Linked DNA regions of Elephas maximus indicus. The protein of the gene in region 2 interacts with the protein of the main gene of each other region in a biochemical or structural test. Links are inferred from orthologs where the notes say so. Each region holds a gene or a part of one and is shown on either strand. Other genes may lie near its edges. The genes, in order: AMER1, KEAP1 and MCM3.

Region 1 (7,488 bases), on a different chromosome or scaffold from region 2:
TTTCCAGGGCTCAGGTTTCCATTCTGTAAGCACAGTGGTCCAAACTGGTGTTCCTTAAAGGCCTGTCCAGCTGGGAAGAAGGAGCTCAGCAGAGACCAGGGGGATTCTTCTCAGCCCTCACCATATTGGTGTTTAGGCTCAAGGTCCCCCCACCCCATGCCCCACACAAGGCCAAAGGGTAGTTGACATTATGCCACCTTCCTCTGGAGATAGCTCTACTGCCAGATCCAGAGGTGGCATCTTATCTGCCTTACTTGTGCCATGCTTCCAATCCCATTCTAAAACCAGTTTTTATCATGATGCATTTATACACACACACACACAAAAAAAAACAAAATTCCACAACCCCTCACTCTTCAGTGTCCCCTTACCCCAATAGGATTAGATCTGCATTCTGCTGCCTGGTGTTTGGGAGCCCCCACCACTGGGCCCCAAACTACTCTTTATCTAGGAGCTATACCATTCAACCAGAATCAACTCAGTCACCTCAGGCTGCCTGCCAGCCACGCCTCTCTCATTCCTAATGTGGACCTCTTTTTGCTTATGACATTAAATTCTTTCCCTAGCCAAACTCCTCTACTGTCTGGAAGCATCCCAGGATGACCACCTCCCCATTAACAAGTCTCTCATTTCTCTCCAGGTTAGTAGGCCTCTGGGCTAATGAATCAGCAAATCAAAGATATGTGTAGTCTGGGGTGGGGACAGCCCAGATCCTGAGCTTGTTGCTGAAGAGACACATCATGATTTATTTATTTTCCTTGTAGTTCCAACCCGTCCCCCTTCTTCATCCTCATTAGGACTACTCAGTTAATATCTGAGCCTTGAGTACCATTTCTCTAGTCACTTTCATGTAGATCACCGTAAGTGCAAGTTGGAGCAGTAAAGGTTTCTCCAAAGCTCTGCAAAAACATCCAGTCCTTCCAGAGCATTAACAACTTGGCACTGCTAGGCTTTGAGCGGGTTGTGACTGATGTCCCAGGTTTCATCTGTCCCTCTGAGGGATTTTGAGAGAACATAGACATTCATGATATGGAGGAGACAAACCAGAAGCAGGGAAACTAAATAATTGGCCTCCTATTGGGTTTTTTGTGTTTTTTTTTGGTTTGTTATAACTTAAGCCTTAAAATGCCCAGGATATAGGGGGACTCCTGAAGGAGTTCTGGGAAGGAAGAGGTCATCATTGGTTGCAAGAGGCAGGCAACAAAAAGAGGTGTCTGCAGTATAGACAATGACTGGCCCAACGACCTGGGTATTTTAAGTTACTGTGAAGTTGGAGGGTTTGGCTCTCATGTACACCCAGGCGGTGCGTTCCCTACTGCAATGCCTGCCCCTTCAGCCGCTGGATCGGAACCCCACACGTGCGCGCGCACACACACACACACACACACAGCACCGTGTCTATCTCTATTTTTAAACAGGAGGCTGGAGAGGAAAAAGCGGTCAGTGCCCTCTAATGGGAGAGGAGGCAAGGCAAGGGGGGAGACAAAGCGGCCTTGGAGCGCTAACCCAAGGACAAGCTTGAGCTGCAGCTCTAACTGAGGAACCAGCGACAGCTTCGCTGCCAACCCTCCTGCCGGAGGTGTCAGGAGCCAGATGCGCCCTGGAACCCAGGAGGAGGGGGCGCGGCTGTTTGGGGCAGCAAGACCGAGGTTCCGAAGGGAAGTGATCAGCCCACAGGCCCAACTGAGATCCTCCTCACAGGGACTCAGATAGTGTGGATCCCTCAATCCACGCCAAAGCCAGTCCTTATCCGGACTGGGCCAGCGCGCGGGTTTCGTGGGCAGGAGGGAAGGAGAGGCAAGAGATGCGCAGGGGAGGGGAGAAGTGGCAGCAGGGCCTCCAGGCTGTCGAGCGATACTCGTGTAACCCAGCTGTTCCAGCAAATCAGTTACAACAAAGCTGCGGAGCTCCCGGCCTACAAATGCACAGCTGGTGGTGCTGGCCGGTGGAGCCACTCCCGGGACCGCGCAGCAGCACGTGCAGCCCCAGGTTCGAGTCTCCCGAGAGCCCAGAGGCATGGTCCATGCTAGCCCGCCAGTCTGCTTGCCTCCTCCCCCTGCTGCTTCCCCACTACCAGCTGCAATCGCCTGCGCCCTGGGGACGCGCGGCCTCTCAGTCCCTCACCGGACAGTCAGCAAAGCAGGGTCCAAGGGGAGCAGCAAGCGGCCCAGACACCGATCGGCCCACCCCTTGGTTCCCCTCTCCGGGCGGCTTGAGCGGAGTACGCAGGACTGCACCGGACGGCAGGCAGAAGGAGGTTCCTGGCTATGCGCAGCGCTTACCCGGCCCTTTCTGGCTCCCAGTCCCGGTATTGTCTGCTGCGCCACCCTGGTCGGGGCTGGAGCCTAGGCTGCTGCGGCTGAGGGTGCCGCCGCCGCCGCCTCAGCTGCCTCCGCTGCTCCTGCTGCCGCCACCTCCGCCACCGCCACCGCTGCCCCAGCCACCTCCTGTACAGGCTCCCCTTCCTTAGGCTCGGGGCAGCTCCCCCATGCCCCCTCCCCCGGGACTCCACAGTCACAGTCACAGGGTGGGAAGTCCGCGTCCTGATCGACAGGAGTGTGGCCCAATCGCCACGACGGGAAGGCGGGGGGACCCTGGCCCGCCCACTGTTTTCCTTGGTACGTTTCTCTTTAAATGCAAATAAGCGCGGGCGTGGTGTTAGCAGGGGGAGAAAGGGTGGGGAACTCAGCCCTGGGGCTCCCCACTCCAGTCCCCAAACCGGGTGGGTCACATGGTGGTGGCACTACGGGCCCCTGGAGTGGGGCTCCCCGGGCCCCTGGAGCTCGGTTTCAGTTTTGCATGCCCTCCCATTTCCGTGGCTGCTGTGCCTTCGCACTGCGGCGCCCCTGCCACCACCAGGCAATTAATCTCAGAGCCCGAGGCGGGTGAGTGAGGCGGGGCGGAGGAGCTAGGAAGGCTGGGGGACTGCAGAGCCCCTGGGCATCTCACCTGGCCCATCGTTAGGCGTAGAGGTAGGGCCCCGCGGCACTCACGCCTAGGCCACACAGAGGAGAGACTGACTCACCTGCCAGGAAAAACCAGCTGCAGCGCCTGCGCCCCGACTTCACCTGCCTCTCTGGCACACCAGGGCCTTTACTGACCATAGAGGCCAACCTCACCCCACCCGTGACTGTGCTGCCCAGAGAAGGGAAGGAGCTTCACCAAGGTCACCCAGCCTGCCAGCGGCAGGAGCTGCTTTCACTTTTCATCTCTGGGAATTTACCTGTTCCTGTAGTTTGACCCTCACCCGAATTTTCCACTTTTCTCTGAACATGAGGGGATCCCCACATTCTCCACAGGACCATCAACCCTTTAACGGTGAGCCTAGCTTTGTGTAATTATCTGTCACCGAAAAGCCTAGATATTAAGAGAAAAATCTTGTCTGGGCTGAGACCAGAGGTAAGGCTGAGGGCTGAGGGTAGATTGTGGAGTCCTGTGCTTGCCTTGCCCACTGCTGTGCTTGGGATGTGGCAGGGGGCCAACTGAGCCTGGGTCTCTAACAAGCCTGAGGGCATTAAGTGGCATTAGTGTCTTCCAGAGGCAGGTGAGCTGAGGTGACAAAGAATCCAGTTCTACCACTAGCTCAAGAACATACAGAAGGTCCAGCCCTAAAACTCTGTGAGCCTAAGAAACAAAGTGGGAGGGAGTGGGGATTGAGTTTGAGGCAGGGGGAGGGATTAGAGAACAATAAAAGCCATTTTTGCATTGCAGGAGAAGTTCTCCATTGCTCTACTATGTCCCATTTGCCTTGAAATGATGCAGGTGCTAAACATAAGATAACTAACATGGTTGCTGGGATCTAGCTTCCAGCTTTGCCTTAGACTACTGTATGACCTTGGCCAATCTCTTTACCTCTCTGGGCCAGTCCATCACTCCATCTCTACAAAGGAGGGGGTAAAACTCATCAAGCTCCTCAATCCAGTCCCAATCTGACAGTTCAACTCAAATCTTTCTATAGCATTTTGTGATGTCCCATGACCTTCCATAACATTCTATACATCTTCCGAAAACAACGTAAGCAATTTTTACTAATCAAAACACCCCAGTATTGGTTTAATGATAGAAACATAGACAAATGGAATAGAATTGAAAATCCAGAAATAAATCCAAACATCTATGGTCAGCGATTTTTGACAAGGGAGCCAAATCCATTCAATGGGGAAGGAATAGTCTCTTCAACAAATGATGGCAAAACTGGATTTCCACAAACAGGAAAATGAAACAAGATCCTTACTCACACCATACACAAAAACTAATTCAAAATGGATCAAGAACTTAAATGTTAGATCTAAAACCACAAAGTTCTTGGAAGAAAATATGGAAGCAAAGCTTTGGGACCTAATTTTTTTCAATGATAAATTATCAAACACTACAACAAATGCACAAGCAACAGAAAACAAAATAGATAACTGAGACCTCATAAAGCTTAAATACTTATGTTCATCAAAAGACTTTATCAAAAGAGTAAAGAGAAAACCTACGGACTGGGAAAAAATCTTTGGGAATGATATAACTGATAAGGGTCTAATATCTAAAATATATAGAAAACTACAACTTAACAACAAAAAGACAAATAACCCAATCAAAAACTGGGCAAAGGACATGAGCAGACACTTCACCAAAGAGGATATTCAAACAGCCAACAGACACATGAAAAGATACTCAACTTCATTAGCCATCAAAGAAACACAAATTAAAACCACAATGAGATGTCATTGCAAGCCCACTAGGATGGCTAAGATTAAAAAAAACAAAGGCAAATAATAAGTGTTGGAGGAGATGTGGAGAAATTGCAACCCTCACCCATTGCTGGTGGAAATGCAAACTGGAACAGCCATTGTAGAAAACAGTCTGGCGGGTCCTCAAAAAACTAGAGGTAGAGCTAAATGACCCAGCAATTCTACTCCTAGGTATATACCCTAGGGATCTAATAGAAGTGACATGAGTAAACATATGCACACCTATGTTCATCGCAGCACTATTCACCATAGCAAAAACATGGAAACAACCTAAGTGCCCTTCAACGGATGAATGGTAAGTAAAATGTGGTACATACGTACAAAGGTGTGCTATTCAGCCATAAAGAAAAATGAGCTCCAAAAACATCTTGAAACATGAATGAACCTGGAGGACACTATGTTGATTGAAATAAGTCAATCACAAAAAAACAAATACTACATGTTCTCGCTTTTATGAAATGACGTGAACAGGTATATATACAGAAACTAATGTTCATTAGTGGTTACAGGGATGAGGGTGGGAAGAAGAGTGGGATTCACTATCTACACAGAAAAACCCATTGCTGTTGAGTTGATTCCGACTCGCAACGACCCTATAGGACAGAATAGAACTGCCCCTATGGGGTTTCCAAGGAGCGCCTGGTGGATTTGAACTGCTGACCTTTTGGTTAGTAGCTGTAGCTCTTAACCACTACACCACCAGGGTTTCCATATCTAGATGGTAGACATTTGTTATTTTTGGTGATAGTAACATCGAATGAGGGTGAAGTACACACAGGTTGACGAAAGGTAAAAAATGCCACTAAAATGTGCAAGAAAAAAGGATCTATCGGTAATTGCTATAGCATATATAATTTTGAAACAACAGTAACAACAACCAAAAAATATATATAGGCATAAATGTATATAGGTATGTGTATGTGAGTATATATGTGTGTGTATATAGGTGTATGCATATGTATATGCATGTATGTGACTGTATGCATATATATTCATATATGTAATAAAGCACATAGGGGACACAGTTATGGATGTTGATATGAAGGATTAGGATATCTTGGTCAATTGGCATAATATAGTTCATAAAAGTTATGTTCTACATTCTAGTTAGGTGAGTAGTTTCTGGGGTCTTAAAAGTTTGCAAATGGCTATCTAAGATACAACTACTGGTCCCTACTTGTCCGGAGCAAAAGAGAAAGAAGAAAACCAAAGACAAAGAAAAAACTAGTCTACAGGACAAATAGTCTACTCGAACCATGGTCTCAAGTGTTGGAGGAGATGTACCCTGAGACCAGAAGAACTAGATAGTGCCCAGCTACCTCTACCGACATTTCTAATCAAGGTCACAATACATGGATCCTGATAGGGTGGGAGAAAAATGTGGAACAGAATCTCAAATTCCTAAAAAAAAAAAAAAAATACACATTTATTGGACTAGTTGAGACTGGAAGATTCTCAGATAGTCTTCAAACCTTAAACCAAAACTAACTCCTAAGGTCAACTTTTAGCTAAATAACACATGGGCTCCCAAAATAATGAATATCACCCATAACCATGTGCTTCTTTTAAAAATCACCTATATGAGACCAAATGTCGATAATCACTTTAAAACATAAATGAGAATGTAAAGGGGCAGGGAAACCAGATTAATGGAAACAGGACAACTAGAACAGAAATAATGAGAATGTTCATGCCATTGTGAAGAATGTAACCAATGTCACTGTATAATTTGTGTAGAAATTGTTGAATAGGAACCTAAACTGCTGTATAAACCTTCATCAAAAACACAATAAAATATTATTTAAAAAAATTAAAAGGAATTTGGACGTCAGATCTCCTAGTCTAGTCCCTGGTCTATACAAATGGTGGGTGAGGTGGTGAGGCTGCCACTAGCTCATTGTGTGTCTTTATTGGTCAAATTTCTTCTCCTCCCCAGCATGTTTCCCCATCTGGAGGGCTGGAGCTATACTTTCTTGCTTTACAAAATCCTAATTGTCACTTGTCAGGCCTGATCTGGAGGTGTCTTCTTTCCCAGCACTTCATTCATAGGCTTTTCAGCTGCCTTGTGCCTTTGGGTCTGCCACCTGCTCACATTTCATCCAGAACTTTGGTTTTCTAAAGTAGGCCAAAGATAACAATTTGGAAAAGCAATTCCTAAATGTGGAGTCCAGGGCAACAATGGGCTAGGGCAGTCTCAACCATGGAAACAGAGAGAAGATATATGCAAAGTAGTCAGGTGGTGGACTCCAAATATCCGTGAGCAAGGGCGCACTGTCATGCTGCTTTTGTCATAGGAGGTAGTCTTCCATGCTTTCTGCCCAGCTGCTAAACATTCTGTCACACCAGTCCTTTGGAACTGACAGACATTAGGGTGGGCCCAAAAGCAATAAGGCTTCAGGGAAATGAAAGAGATATTCAAAATGCTGAAGAGGCTTCCCAGCTGGATGCCTTCTTTGTGGTCCTGACATTCCCTAGTCTCAGGTGTGTGTGCTCTGGAGCATTGTGGATGAAGGTATTCCTTTTCCTCAGGATGGGGAGGGGCATCAGAAAAAGGTTTCATGGAGGATGGCTTTGAGGATTGTGTCAAGTGAGAAAAGTAGGGGAAGGAATTCTGGCCTAGCCAAATCCCAGCCCTGTGAGAGTATATGGTGAATTGGGCAAGAGCTGGGATTCTGGATGGTTGGGGTTGATTATAGGTGTAGGGTAAGAGGAAGAGCTGGAAATTAAGCTAGAAATATAGGACCAGGGC
Region 2 (7,632 bases):
CTCCCTGGTCCCTCCCTGCCATTGCCCCAGCCTTGATTCCAGGCACCTTCCTCCACGCTCACCTCCCCGAAATGCATGTAGATGTACTCGCGGGCGCGCTGGTGCAGCTCAGCACAGCCGATCTGCTCAGCGAAGTTGGCAATGCCGATGGCGTTGCTGGGGTCCAGCTGCTGCACCAGGAAGTCACTGCAGGCACGGACGACGCTGTCAATCTGGTACATGACAGCGCCGTTCATGACGTGGAGCACACATTTCTCGCCCATGGAGATGGAAGCCGTGTAGGCGAACTCAATGAGGCGCTCCATGACCTTGGGGTGGATGCCCTCGATGGATACCACCTCCATGCCCTGCTCCCGCAGCCCGTTGGTGAACATGGCCTTAAAGACAGGGCTGGATGAGGCCAGCACCACCTTGTGGGCCATGAACTGGGCAGCTGGCGCATCCTCATACTTGACCTGCAGGGTGACGTCACAGAGCTGCTGGCTGAGCCGCAGCTCGTTCATGATCCCGAAGGCCTGTTTGGTGTGGTCCTCCAGTGTGTAGCTGAAGGTGCGGTTGCCATGCTGGGAGGGCGTCACCTCGGCCTTACACTCGGTAGAGGCATACATCACTGCGTCCCCTGCCCCCTCGGGGCACTGCGACTGCAGGGGCAGGAATCGGCTGTGGGCCCCAGCCCTGCTAGGCTTGGGTTCCAGCTGCATGAGGCTCCTGGCGATGAGGGACAACACCACCACTGGCACTCAGGGCCCTGGAGGAGGAGAGCACAGGGCTGGGGGCAGGGCCTGGGGCTGGGCCAGCACCGGCCAGGCCTCCTTTTGTAAGATAAAGCCATTCTCAGATCAGCTTTCCTTCCCGAGGGAACCAGATAGAGCAGCATTCATTCCAGCTTCCTAATTGTCCCCAGCCTTACCAGCCCAAGGGCCCATCTTAAAACCTAGGTCAGGCCATGTCCCTCCCCTGCTCAGAATCCTCTGACAACTCCCCAAGACACTAAGAATGAAACCGAACTCCTCAGAGGCCCGGTCAGCCCCTGCAGCCTCTTCCCTTTGCTCTCTCTGTCCCAGCCATCTGGAGCATGCCCTTCCTACAGCACGCCAAGATCATTCCTTTATTCACCTCACAAACACTTATTGAGTGCCTACTGTGTGCCAGGTACTGTTCTAGGCACTGGGGACACAGCAGTGGGCAAGACAGACAAAACCCCCTGCCCTCTGTGGAGCTGACATTAGGGGAGGAAAGGACCATAAATAAAATCAGTAAGGCTGGAGCGGAAACCTGGAGAATCCAGGAGGAGGAGTAAAGCTGCTGAGAGTATGGTGGGAGACAAGGAGCTGGGCTTGCATAAAGCCCAAGGTCGCAGAGGGCCAGGTCTGCGATGTGTTTTGAAAGGTTTCCACACTAGCTGGCCTGGAGGGTGGGGGGTGAATCTGCAAGGGGCGGCTAGGTTCTCCTCCTCATTGAAATGCAGTCACCACCTCCCTCATGCATTTTCATCACAGCACTTGTCAGGAACTGAAAGGATCTCCATGGCTTGTTGTTGAGGAATTGGCCATCCTTCTCACACACAGCCTCAGCGCTCCGGCAGGCCGGGGGGGCCCCTGTCTAGATCACTGCTGTGCCTTCCCCCGCCGTGCCACCCCCACGTCCTGCCCCGGGCCTGACACTGCGCAGGGCTCAGTAAACACGGGGCCGTCTGGCTGCCTGCCCACCCCACTGCGCCCTCTTCCACCCGGACCCAGGGCGCAGCTTGGCTCCCTCTCCCGTACCGACTGCCTCTCCACCTTCGGCCAATCGATCACTGGTGCCCCCTGGCCACCGGGCACTCCCCCAACGAAGCGCCCAGTGCGGACTGCGCATGCCCCGCATGGGCCGCCACCAAGACTTGGAGAAGGCAGGAAGTGACCCCGCCGCGGCCTCTCGCCTGCCAGCCCCAGAGGATGGAACGGGTCCCCCCAACGCCTCGGGGTCCCCGCGCCTCCGTGCGATCGGCGCTCCCTGAGCCTCCCGCCCTGTTTTCTTTCCTCTCGGGCCAACCCAAGGGTCGTGCAGTCCAACAAAAGGATCGGACCCCGGACCCGTCTCCTGGCCGTTCCAGGCCGCGGGGAACCCCGAGGCGCCCTGGCCTGCGACGCCCCGCTCCCCGCTCCTCAGGCACGGTCGCTCGGGCGCTCGCGGCCCGCGGTGCCCGCAGCCCGGGCACAGGTCGCCTCACTCACCCCGCCATGGCCGCGCTCGGGCTCCGCCTCCGCCGCCGGGGCCCCGGCGCCTCCATCGCCGCGCGGCGGGGGGAGGCGCGGAGCGCGCAGGTCACCATGACTAAGCAGAGCCGGGGCCCGCCGTGTCAGAATAAAAGTCCCCGCGGCCCGGGCCTCTGGCGGCGCCGCGGGAACGCGAGAGCGGCCACCTCCCGCCCCCGCCCGCGGTCGCCAAGCTGCACCGCCCCTGTGAGGCCACCACAGAGACGGCCATTACCGTGCGCGCGGCCGGGGACCGGTCCTCTGCGGGGGCCCCCACCCGCGCGGCCGGAGCCGCGAGGATTACACCCGGTAGTTCGAGGCCCGGCGTTCCCCAACCCGCACCGGGGACCCGGTGGCCACCGCTCCCCGCCGCTGCCGCCGCGCTCATCTCGGCCTCCTCGTCGCCTCCGTAGCTCTCGCTGACGGTGGGGATGCCTGAGTCACCGCGGCGGCTCGGGGCACGGCGGTGCCACCCGCGCGCGCGCGGCCCTTCCGGGAAGCCTGAAGGGCAGCGGCCGGGCCGCGGCGGCTCCTACCTGACCTCCGCCGTCGGGGATCCGCTGGCGCCTCCGCCGTCGCAGGGCCTCCGATCCGGGGCGGCGCAGCCTGCGGGGTCGCCGCCGTCGCGTGGGGGGCAGCCTCGGGACGCCCGGGAAGGAGGCGGGGAGAGGGTGGGGAGGGCGCGGTGGGGAAGGAGCCGCGATTCCCCGCCCTTCCCTCAGGTGCGGGGCGCCCATCCGAGGCCAGCGGGGCTCCGGGCCCGCCGGGACCATTCCCCCTGAGCGCTGTTGCTCCATCCTGAGTTCGTGGCCAGAGCGTCCCAGCGCAGGGTTGCTGTCCGCGACCTGCTCCTCTCCCTGTAACTGCACACGGCACAGGCCTCGCATTCTGGCGCACGCAGGATCCCGCCAGAATTACCTGCATAGTTGGGATTTTGTTGTCTTTATTTATTACCTCTGATTAAGAGACGCGTGAAGCTCACCTGCCGGAGTTCGAACCCCGGCTCTGCCTCCCGCAGCTCTTAGTTTCCTGCCTGTAAAATGGTAAAATAATAGGACCTTTTACCGGCTAGGTTGTTGTAAGGACTAAATGCGAAGGCGAGCGCCCAATAGATATGAACAATTATTTTTCATGACAAGGGATACTGATTTGCCACTATCACGGATTGAATTGTGTCCTCCAAAAATATGTGTTGCAAAGCTTAACCTCTTATGCTAGCGGTTATAACCCATTTGGGAATGGGTTGTCTTTGTTATGTTAATGAGCAGGATTAGTGTAGAGTGTGTCTTGAGTCAGTCTCTTTTGAGATATTAAACAACCAAGCAGAAAAGGAAAGAGAGATGCCAAGCTACATGAAGATCACCCAGGAAGCTCAGAAAAGACGAAGACCTTCTTCCAGAGCCTACACAGAGAGAAAGCCTTCCCCTAGAGCCAAAGCAAACCAAACCCAGTGCCGTCGAGTAGATTCAGACTTACAGTGACCCTATAGGACAGGGTAGAGCTGCCCCATAGAGTTTCCTAGGAGCGACTGGAGGATTCGAACTGCCAACCCTTTGGTTAGCACTGTAGCACTTAACCACTAGGCCACCAGGGTTTCCAAGAGCCGGCACCCTGAATTTGGACTCCTAGCCTCCTAAACTGTGAGAAAATTAATTTCTGTTTGTTAAAGACACCCACTGTGCTATTTCTGTTATAGCAGCACTAGATAATTGAAACAGCCATTTGCACCGTTTATGATACAAAGTTAACTTTTAAATAAATGTGTTTAAGTTTAGTTTAAAAGGAGTCCATCTAAATGAAAACTAAGTAATAGAAGGGGATGAAGTTTGGGGAGACGCTGAAATGAAGAGCTGTTGGTCTACGAAAGGATTCCGTAAGCCACCAGGATCTGAAATTAAACTGGTGCCCGAAATTGGTGTGGGGTTTCCCCCCCAACCCCTTTGCGTGAAACTACAGTCCCTATCCTCTCCGGGGCGGCGGGGGTGGGGAGCGCTGTTTCATAGTCGGCGAATACGCTGAGTGCCCAGGCTGTGGGGAAACACGCACCCTCCTCGCACGTGCCCCAAGGCAACCTTGCCTATCTATAAATCAAACCTTCACGCCCTGTGACCCAGCAGTGCCATTCGTAGGGATTTATCCAAGATACACTGATACGCGTGCAGGAGGATTTATGTCCAGGGAGGTTTATTGCAGCCCTGTGTATAGTGTGGATTGGACTCAACCCAAATGTCACTCCATGGGGACGTGGCTTAATAAGTGATGGGCACAGCTTTTCTTTTACAGCCATGCTGTGAAATACTATGCAATCGGTTAAAAGGAGCAAGACATTTAGACATTTACTCTATGAATGTTTAACTGAAAAAAAAAAAAGATATAAGAACAAAGCAGAATAAAATGTGCATACGTGCAACAATCTCCAAGACCTATTATTACATGATCAAAACTCCTTTCAGCTTATTTATTCACAGACAGCTCTGGAAGTTTCCCAAGATCGAATCCAGGAAAGGGAAATGGGTGTTTTTTTTGTTTGTTTTTCAATTTTGTGAGATGTAAACAATTCAATAAGTCCCCTACCATCTCGCCATCGAACAATGGGGTGAAATGTCTGGGAAGGCCCCAGACTCCCTTGGAAGTTTAGAAGAGCGTCCGGACTAGGGGCACTAGGGCAAGGGTGGAATTGGGTCCAATCCCAGAAGCGTCCTGGGACTGTGACCCCCAAGCTTGTGTATGTATATTTCAAGAAACAGGTTGGTTTCTCAGGCGTGTAACCTTCAGGGGCGGCCCAGGTATGGCCCGCGGAGACGGTCCCCAGGACAGGCCCCCGGCCCTGCAAAAACACCGCCGTCTGGCTGCCTGCAGTTCCGAGACCTCCCACCAGGTGGCACACCACAGTGAAAACCCGACGCCCCCCACCCCTCCCCCGGCCGCCGACAACTCAGGGGTCAGGAATGCTCCTCGGGACGTGCCGGGGCTGTGGCCAGCGTGCCTGGAGCCTTTTATGGGCACAAAGGGGCCTGGTAGCACCCCTGGCTGAGAATGCAGACCCCTGGGGTTTGGGAGTGTCGGTTGGAATCGTCGGGAGGAGCCAGACGCTAGACCTGAGGCCCCCTGGGCCTGGGAGCCTGACTGCCTGGGCTGGAATCCCGGCTGAAAACACTGCAGCAAGGTGCTCACTGCTTGGAGCCTCAGTTTCCTCATCTGTCAAATGGAGGTGACAAAATCTACCTTGCAAAGTTGCTGTAAGGGTGAGAAAAAAACCAAATGTGTGTCCTCAGCCTAGGATTTGTTAAGGCGACTAAACCAAAAAGCCCAGTGCCGTCAATAAACTGTAAATGTTATTAACTTTAAATTTATTATTATTTTTTTTATAATGAGGGATCGACACTGCACTCAAGAAAATTTTGTGCTCAGACAGGATTTGGCTGAATCTCTCAAATTTTGGGGTGCCCTGTCCCTGGCTTCCTTGCCTCTAAAGTGGGGAGTCATCCTTGATTTCTTTCTTTCCTTCACCCCATACCCAATTCCTTGGTAATTTTGTTCACTGCCTCCAAAATCTGTACGGTAACCGCTTGGTCTGAGCCTGGTTGGTGTTCCTATCATGGCTTTCCTGGGCCAGCACCATCACCTCATTCCCCACAGCCTGTCTCCACAGTGGCCAGAGGGAGCCTGTGAACACCCGAGCGAGGTCACCTGGCTCCTCTGTTCAGAACCCTCCATGGTTGCCATCTCATTTAGAGCAAAACCAAAGTCCTCCCCTTCCCCCACAAGACCCTACACAATCTGTTCCCTTGCCTCCTCCTGCACTCCCCCACCAACTCTCTGTCAGACACACCAGGATCCTTGCTTTTCATTGAACACAACAGCCTCAGGGCCTTTGCACCTGCAATTCCTTCCTCCTGAAGTGCCCTTTGTTCAGGTGACCACCATCACTGACACCATGATTGTATTATTACTGGAATTATCGCGTTTATTTCTTCCTGGACCAGAGTTTCAGTACCACAAAGGCAAGATGTAGTCTGTTTTGTTCACTGCTGTGTCCCTAGTGACTAATATAGAGCTTGGCACACAGTAGGCACTCAATAAATAGGGTTTGACTTCAATTAATATATCTGCCCTGTGTCTTTGGCTGCGTTTCCTACAGGTTCCTTTATTTAAAGCAAAAAAGTCTGCAAAATAGCTCTTAGGGAAGGCAATGGCGGGCCTGAGGCATCAGTCTGCAGTGGGCATGGGCACCAGGGTCTGGGCACCCATGGGTGCGCCGGGGCTGCCAATGGAGCCGCTGGTGTCCAGCCCATCCCGTCGGGGCGACGAGCGCTCAGAGTGGCTGGAGCTGCCATCAGTGCAGGGAGGCAGCCATTGGCGCAGGCCGCCGGAAGCCCCAGCCTCGCTCCCGGGCCGCCTGGAATCACCCTGGCCTAGGCCACAGGGGCGACGGCCGCAACAGACGAGACGCAGGAGCGCGTGGCGCAGGTCGCTGTTGGTGAACGTGTAGATAATGGGATTCAGAAGCGAATTGGCCATGGCCAGGCCCAGGAAGGGGTCAGCCTGCAGGAGCACTGGGCAGGCGCGCGCCGGGCATGCCACGTCGAGCAGCAACAGTAGGAAGAGGGGACCCCAGCACGCCACGAAGGCCAGGAGCACCACGCTGAGCGTGCGCAGCAGCGCCAGCGTGCGCGGCGTGCGACGCGCCCGGTCCGAGGCGCCCCCGCTAGCCCCGGGTCGCGCCCGCAGGCGCCGCGAGTTAGCGCGCACCTGGCAGTAGATGCGCGCATAGAGCACACAGATGGCGGCCAGGATGCTGACGAACGCGACCACGCAGAAGAGCACGTAGGCCTTGGCGTAGAGGGGCAGCACTGTGGAGCAGGAGTCTAGGCGGCCCAGGCAGTTCCAACCGAGCCCCGGCAACAGCCCGATGAGCAGCGACGCGCCCCAGGCGGCGGCCGCCAGCGCCAACGTGCGCCCCCGCCGGGCGGCGGGCGCGGGTCCCCGGTGCGCCATGGTGAAGCGGCGCTCGAGCGCGATGGCCAGGAGACTCAGCACGGACGCAGCGAGCGCCACGAAGACGCCGCCTTCGCGCGCGAACCAAAGCGCCGGCGACAGACGCAGCGTAAGTGGCCCGGACAGTAGTATGTTGGCGGCATAGGCGGCGCCTGCCAGCAGGTCAGACAGCGTGAGACTTCCCAGGAGCAGGAACATGGGCGCGTGAAAGCGAGGGTGGCGCCCGAGCACGAGCAGCACGGCCAAGTTCTCCAGCACGATGAGCGCGCACACTGCCAGGCACACGACGGCGTCGGCGCGCAGTCCCGCGCCAGGCTGGTAGCGAGCGCCTCGGAGCTTGCCGGTGTAGTTGTAATGCAGGACGATGACTTCGCTCACCGGCGCCGGCCGCAGCAGC
Region 3 (7,426 bases), on a different chromosome or scaffold from region 2:
CCCAATTAACTTGCATGAAAACAGACATCTTTGACTCCAGCCCCCAACGAGGCCCAATCACTATATTCCCCTCACCTTAGTGGGATAGACAGAGCTGGAAGGAAAGGCCACCAAGGTGGTGAGATCAGAATAACGTCGCTCTATGGTCTTCTTGGTGGCAGGACAATAGTGGACACTGCGGACAACTTTGGGTCGAACTAGAGAGCCTAGGAATGAAAAACATGCATCTGAAGTCATCCAAGTGGACAGTGATAGAAGGACCTACATTCAGGTAAGCCTACAAGGACTCCAAATACTGTCTTCTTCCAACTAGTTTAAGCTATTTGAATACATACCAAGCCAAAATCAAACCAGCTGCTGTGGAGTCAGTTCTGACTTAGGGTGATCCCATGTGCGTCAGAGCAGAACTGTACTCCACAGGGTTTCAATAGCTGATCCTTCAGAAGTAGATTGCCAGGCCTTTCTTCCAAGTAGCTTCTGGGTGGATGCAAACTTCCAACCTTTCAGATAGCTGCTGAGCGTGTTAACCGTTTGCACCACCCAGGGACTCCTGTCAGTTATTCATGTTTACATCTATACACAGAACTCGCCACGAGGGCTCCAAATATCACCATATCTATGTAAAATTCAAGAACGACTGATTCCAACTAAGAAATTCTAAGAATTCAGGGTTGGAATGAGGAAAATGCCAAAAGCCACGCTCTTCTCCAGTTCTCAGCAGAACTTACCATTCTGTTAGCACAGGTAGTCACTCAAGGTTATTCTAATCACTCTGCACTCTGAGCTTCTCCCAGTTCACCCCATAACTTCAATCCTTCACCTTTCTAAAACCACAAGCTATCCAGCTGTATTCCACCTCTCCTGTTTATCTACTTTTATTCCCCTAGTCCCCACCTCTAACCCACTCACATTTAGTGATAATGCCCTCCACACAGACTACACAACTGAGGAAGCAGGAGGTGAGAGTTCGCGGGGAGACATGCTTAGAGCCAAAACTGCCCTCCAATCCTATGTAGAACTCCTCATACTGCTTGGCGTAGGTAGCATCAATGGAGGCCACAAAATCCTTTAAGGCCCGCTGGAAGGCAACCAGTTCTTCAAAGGCATTGCTCAGGAGGCTGCATATGAGCAAGAATAAAAATAATTAGGCAGAGAGGCCAAAATTCCAAAAAAGTGACCCTGCAAACAGAAGTGGACATTCTTAGATCATCAAGGCCAAGGAGTGAAAATCCAGTTCCTACTTTCTCCTACCATTCTACAAAACTCAGTAAAACCCATCAGAACTGAGGGCCCACTTTAACTCATTTATGAAAGATGTAGAAATGATACCTAATTAAAATACTGGAAAAAGAGGCCCTTGGGAGGAAATGTCCACCAACTACTTTTGAAAGAAAAACAAAGGAGCAGGAGAGGCAACGAGGGCTTCTAGGTCAATCATGTTTGATCCACGTCCTCTCCTGGGATGCCTATTACAATCTGGAGAAGAGGGAAGGAAGCTGGTTCACTCAGAGCCAGGCCTTCCCCTTGGGAACCTTTGCATCTCACCGGTTAGCCCTCTTCTCATTTTTCCTGCGCAGGTCATTCACATTGACAATCAGCCGGCATTGGTTGTCACTGATCAGCTCCCGCACTTTGCTTTGATAAAGTCCCTGGTCTTCCTGCAAAATAGGCACCAGATTAAAAAACAGGATGTTTTTAAACAGAGGCAGCTGTCACAGCAAGATAAATAAAGCTACCTCTAAGGCAGAACTGAACCCCAAGCATCCATTCATCAATTTCTGCCACATTTTCACTCTCCGGCCTCAGACTCTGAATATATCTTCTGGGGATACTGTAGGAATTATGACTTCCTCAAAAATAATGACCCAACTTATTATTTCTATTATCATCAACAGCTTGCTAAAATGTTTCTGTATGTTGTCATTTCTCAGTCTCTAGTGTGGAATTAAAACGAGTGCATATTAAATCTAAAAGAAAGATGAAACCTTGTTAGATTGTAAACCCAACAGGCACTTATTAAAATGCCTTTTCATTTAAAAGCTATGTACAGAACTAAGGTATTATTATTTCCCCATCATGTATGTACGTAATATATATGAAAGAGCTCTCAAAGCCAGACTAAAGGAGAGCTTAGCTATTTGATTACAGATACAGCCTCTTTCAAGGTGCTTTATCAACATTTTAGTCTTGGGTTGTACGTAAAACTCCCTTTATCTGCATACAAAACCCTCTTTTTCTGCATCTTATCCGGTATTGGAAAAGAATGCATCCAAATTAGAAGTCTGTCTCCTGAACAGTATCAAGTCAGTTACTAAATATCTGGGGACCCTACAACGCTGTAAGTCAACACCGCCCTAAAACAGTTCCTACCCTACCTTCTCCCAAAACAGAGCCGGGAGTGATTTCGAAAAGACCAAGGTGGGCTTTGCCCTTTTGTTTGCACTCAAGGGAACTCGTCGCCTTTCGTGTGACCCGTTCATCACTTGTATTTAGGAGAAAGTTTTCTAAAGGCTCACCTATATAAAGCCAGCTAACGACTGACTCCGCTACAAGAAAAACTACAAGACTGGGGTGGAAGGGTCCTGCGCCCGCGGGGCTCCGGACCAGCAGCCAGGCTCGGGCACCAGCATAGCGCCTGGAGGTCTTACTGCCAGGCCCTGTCCCTGCTCGGAAAAGGAGCAGCGTCACCCGCTTTCTCCCCCGGCCGCCCAGTCCCCTGGGGCTCCAAGCGCCAGAGCCTCGCGACCCTGCACCTTCCTCACCTCGTCATCCAAGAAGTCCAGGTAATCTCTCTGAGCCTCCCGCAGCTCCACATCGTCCAACACCACAGTCCCAGCCATGCTCGTGACCTCGAAACTGCTAAAAAGTCTTTCGGGTGGTCCTTGAATGACTCCTCCCCGGCGCGAAAACTTCCGAACTTTTCCCGCCACCAAAGGTTACGTGAAGGAAAGGGAGGAAACACTGCGAGCAAATGCACTTTCTGATTGGCTAGATCTTCTTACACAGGAATAGCGCGTATCCAATCGGGAGCTCCTCCTTCTTTAGGCTGTCCTTACGGCGCCTGGCGGTGGCGGGAAATGGGACACCCGGGGCGGGCTCTCTTGGTTTCTCCCCCTCCCCGCTGGGTCCTCACGGCCAGGAAAGCCGACCAATGGAGCCGAGAGGAGGTCTCGGAGTCTGGTAATTGGGCTGCTGGAGGGGGCGGTCCGGGAAGTGGGGAAGCGCTGCATTCTGGGAGGCTTGGTCCTCTGCTCTCTCGCGAACGTTTTGCAGGCTGTGGTTCGTGGTTCAGAGCGTGGTTGCTAACCAAAATGTCGGCAGTTTCAATCCACCACCTGCTCCTTGGAAACCCTGTGGAGCAGTTCTGTTCTGTCCTATGGCGTCGCTATGAGTTGGCATCAATTCGAGGGCGACGGCTTTGGTTTTTTGGTTCACCAACCTGCCCCAGAGCGACCATACTCAACCAGCCATTTGAATTAGTCTATGGGCTTTGCATGATAAAGAGTCGAGTGAATGGTTAAGCTCTCTTCTGCTAACCAGCAGGTTGGCAGTTGGAATCCAGCAGCGGCTCCGGACGAGAAAAGACCTGGTGTTCTGTTCCTGTAAAAATTACAGCGTAGGCAACCACATGGGTCATTTCTACTCTGTCCTATAGGGTCACTCTGAATCGGAATTTGAGAATGTCCAGTAAGTGGCACTCTGCGCGCACCGGCCAGGATCCGCCTTTGGTTCGGTGACAAATTCTTGCACCCCAGATGGGACCGGGAGGTCCCCCTGACCCGCCTGCCCAGAGCCCGGTATCGTCTCGGACTGTGGACGCACTCTCCTCCAGACCTCCGCGTACACCGAGCCATTTGTTGGGGAGGAACGGATGAGTTTTCCCGTGTGACCGAGGCGGTCTTCGGCCAGAGGCGCTTCACTCTTCGAGAATCAGAAATAAGTCCGGTCTGAGACGTCTCTTGGATAAGTTGAGAAATCTGTTGAGATTAGCCGCGATGGGTTAGAAGCAGCTGTTGTGTGCTCTCTGGGAAGTTGATGTTTGGCTAGATACCTCGGTGATTACATTTCTGGGTTGTTGAAACTCAACAGTGTGGTCTTAATTGTTTCTTTTGACCATAGACAAAACGTGACTCGAGTCCTATTCAGGTTCTGGCTCTGTTCTTCATTTTGTGATTCTAATTTTTAAATCCTTGCCGTAAGTGTTGTGTTACTGTGTGTGCGTGTGTGTGTGCGCGCGCGCAGAATGAAAATCACGCAAGCATTCCAGAATGTAGTCGTCTAAGGTGTATTCTTAAGAATCATTCACATCTTAGTTATGAGCCTGTGAAAAAAGAAGTAAATGATATTTCTCTGTAACACCGCTTGGTGTCAGTACTAACTGGGTTCAGGAGAGAGGGGGTCGGAACACGGAGCTTGGAATTACAGCACAATCCTTCAGTTAGATTTATCTTGTAAAAGAGAGGAGAAGTAGGACGAGATCCCATATGTGCAGGTCTTTGTGTCTCCATATCAAAATAAGAATCTACAGAAGCAGTGTAAATTAATTGTTCAGTCTACCTAAGATACTGAAAAGAAAGTTTTACACGACCATGGGGATCCATACTCCTTCAGTCCACTACCAGCCCCCTTCTGCCTCACCACCTTAACCCCCAGAGTCAGAACCTCTAGCGCCACACCTCAGACCCCGACCCCCTACTCTGCATTCCTGGGCTGTAGTCCAACAGTGGAGCCACCAAAGGCTCAAGCCACTTTGTACCCCCCTTTGTCAATATCTGACATTAGGACTGGGGCCATTTCCCAAGAATCAGTCTCCCCTGCCCACATCCATAGTGGAACCCAATTTAGCCAGGGGCCGCCTTCTATCCCTGCAGGGCAATATCTGTTAAGGCACACGCCAGCAGGAATGGACTATGCTGGGCAGCCACAGGGTTTCCTTTGGATGCACACTCCGTTCTCCACCTCAAACTTACACAGTTGGAAAAATAACTTCCCCACTTTTGGGGAGGACCCCAAGAAAGTAGAGGCTCATTTTGCTTCTGTGTTTGCCACTCATCCCCCCCAATAGGGCAGATTGCGGTCTTTAACCTCTGATGAAAAAAGGATAGGTAAGAAGTTGACAAGCTTCATCCTTTGAACCCCCCCCCAAATGACATCAGGCAGCATGTGACCCAGGCTGTTCCAATAACAGAGCCTAGGTGGGACCCCAATGACAGGTTGGGCATGGCCTGTCTTGACCATTATAGGCATTACTTGAGCAGCAGACTAGAGCATGAAGTGCCTAAACAAAGAGTTTGAATAAGATACAGAAGGTCAATTAGGGGGAAAAGGAAAATCCCTACAGCTGTTTGGAGAGAATCTTCAGAGCATGCTGCCAATACTCTGACATTGACCGAGAAGACCCCGCCGACACTAGGTTGATCAACAAGACTTTTATCAGCCAAAGCGCCCCAGGTATCAGAAGAAACCTTCAAAAACATCAAGGGGAACTCGGGAAAAACACCTCTGAATTGGGTGAGATTGCCTTTAAGGTCTACAACAACCAAGACCAAGAACATGCTGGGGGGGAAGGACAGAGGATGAAACAGAAGGCTGTGCTCTTGGCATCCACTCTTGGGAGTCTGCCACTGGGTAACTTCCCGTCAAGAGGGGTAAATTCCCAGTGCCCCTCACTGCCAAAACCCCCTTAGGGACCTCAGCAGATGGGTCAGCCAATAAAGTTGGGATCCGAACAAGGTGCCTATTGCAAAAAGGAGGGATACTGGAAGCGAGAATTCCCTGGACGCCCTCGCAGTGGCCTTTCAGAGCCCAATCGAGAGGTTGCCCATCAGATAGTGCACCTGTCCAAGAGTCACCAAGAGTGATGGGACACAGGGGCTCTGTTGCCTACCGGGCACGTTCCTATCTCCCACAAGAATTCCGGGTGGCTACAACTGATTGATTTGTGTCCCCAAAAAAATATGTGTCAACTGGGTTAGGCATGATTCCCAGTATTGTGTGACTGTCCTGCATTTTGTGATTGTAATTTTATGTTAAAAGGATTAGGGTGGGATTGTAACACCACCCTCACTCAGGTCACTCCCTGATCCAAGGTAAAGGGAGTTTCCCTGGGGTGTGGCCTGCACCACCTTTTATCTCAAGAGATGAAAGGGAAGCAAGTGGAGAGTTGGGGGCCTCATACCACCAAGAAAGCAGCACCAGGAGCAGAGCGCATGTTTTCGACACGGGGTCCCTGCACTTGAGAAGCTCCTCGACCATGGGAAGACTGAGGACAAGAACTTCCTCCAGAGCCAGCAGAGAAAGCCTTCCCCTGGACCTGACTCCCTGAATTTGGACTTGTAACCTACTAGACTGTGAGAAAATAAATTTATCTTTGTTAAAGCCATCCACTTGTGGTATTTCTGTTATGGCAGCACTAAATGACTAAGACACTGTGGGAACGCAACTGGGGAAACATATTCAGTCCTTAATTAACACTTGGGTCCTCTTTCAGAAGAAATGACTATTACTGGGGTCTCCGGGAGATCCTCTAGCAAGACTTTTCTGCAACTTCTGGATTGTCATATTGGGGAGGCAACTCTCCTCACAGCTGCTTATATGTGCCTGAATGCCCATCCCCCTCCTAGGGTGTGACTTGCTAGCCAAACTCAATGCTCAGGTTACCTTTTCGGCTGGATGGCTCCAAGTTGAAGTTAACCCAGACCAGGCTTGGCCCTGCAGGCCACTTTTCTGCAGCTCCTGATTCTAAGCTCAGATCTCGTACCTGAAGAGATCTTTCAGAAGCTAAACCCAGAGGTGTGGGCTACTGGAGTCCCTGGACGGTGATAACAGCCAACCCAGTCAAGGTAAAGCTAAAATCAAATTGCACTATACCCCACCTGAAACAATATCCTGTGGAGCAGGAAGCCAGAATGGGCATAAAACTCTTTAATAGAGACTTTCCTCCAACACGGACTAATCTGCTCTTGCCAGTCGCTCTATAACACTCCCATATTCCTGGTTAAGAAGCTGGGCACAGGTGAATACCAGTTTGTTCAAGACTTCACGCCCATTCATCAGTTTATGGAAGATATCCATCCAGTAGTACCAAACCCATATACTCTACTAACTGCACTTCTGGGAGATAATGCCTGGTTTACGGGGCTGGATTTAAAGGATGCCTTCTATTGCATTCCCCTGGAGGCATCATCCCAGGAAATCTTTGCCTTTGAATGGGAGGACCCAGATACAGGACAAGGGCTCAGTTCTGTTGGACTGTGCTGTCCCAAGGGTTTAAAATGCCCCTGATCTGTTTGGGGAAGCACTGAGAAGAGACTTACGAGAGTTAGAATTACCTAAAGGAGTCGTATTACAGTATGTTGATATCCTGATTTCTAGCCCGAAACTTCAGATGAAAATACAGTGACTGTTTTGAATTTCTTGGCTGAGA

The links.
Region 1: the proteins of KEAP1 (region 2) and AMER1 form a complex in vitro, tested with the Homo sapiens proteins (2 studies listed by BioGRID). The link is inferred for Elephas maximus indicus from reciprocal best matches to the Homo sapiens genes KEAP1 and AMER1.
Region 3: the proteins of KEAP1 (region 2) and MCM3 form a complex in vitro, tested with the Homo sapiens proteins (2 studies listed by BioGRID, with this or other methods). The link is inferred for Elephas maximus indicus from reciprocal best matches to the Homo sapiens genes KEAP1 and MCM3.

What each region holds. Positions count from the first base shown.
Region 1 is NC_064846.1:107,061,680-107,069,167, forward strand, and holds the start of AMER1 (APC membrane recruitment protein 1), read right to left. Parts: upstream 3,027-7,488; 5' UTR 2,950-3,026; intron 2,520-2,949; exon of another isoform or gene 2,283-2,519; intron 1-2,282. UniProt on the Homo sapiens protein: Regulator of the canonical Wnt signaling pathway.
Region 2 is NC_064821.1:28,571,460-28,579,091, forward strand, and holds the start of KEAP1 (kelch-like ECH-associated protein 1), read right to left. Parts: upstream 3,050-7,632; 5' UTR 2,774-3,049; intron 2,307-2,773; exon of another isoform or gene 2,217-2,306; intron 1,831-2,216; exon of another isoform or gene 1,767-1,830; intron 749-1,766; 5' UTR 702-748; coding exon 63-701; intron 1-62. Other genes in the region: S1PR5 (sphingosine 1-phosphate receptor 5), read right to left, coding at 6,447-7,632. UniProt on the Homo sapiens protein: Substrate-specific adapter of a BCR (BTB-CUL3-RBX1) E3 ubiquitin ligase complex that regulates the response to oxidative stress by targeting NFE2L2/NRF2 for ubiquitination.
Region 3 is NC_064819.1:117,647,107-117,654,532, forward strand, and holds the start of MCM3 (DNA replication licensing factor MCM3), read right to left. Parts: upstream 3,042-7,426; 5' UTR 2,841-3,041; coding exon 2,763-2,840; intron 1,659-2,762; coding exon 1,546-1,658; intron 1,119-1,545; coding exon 910-1,118; intron 207-909; coding exon 76-206; intron 1-75. UniProt on the Homo sapiens protein: Acts as a component of the MCM2-7 complex (MCM complex) which is the replicative helicase essential for 'once per cell cycle' DNA replication initiation and elongation in eukaryotic cells.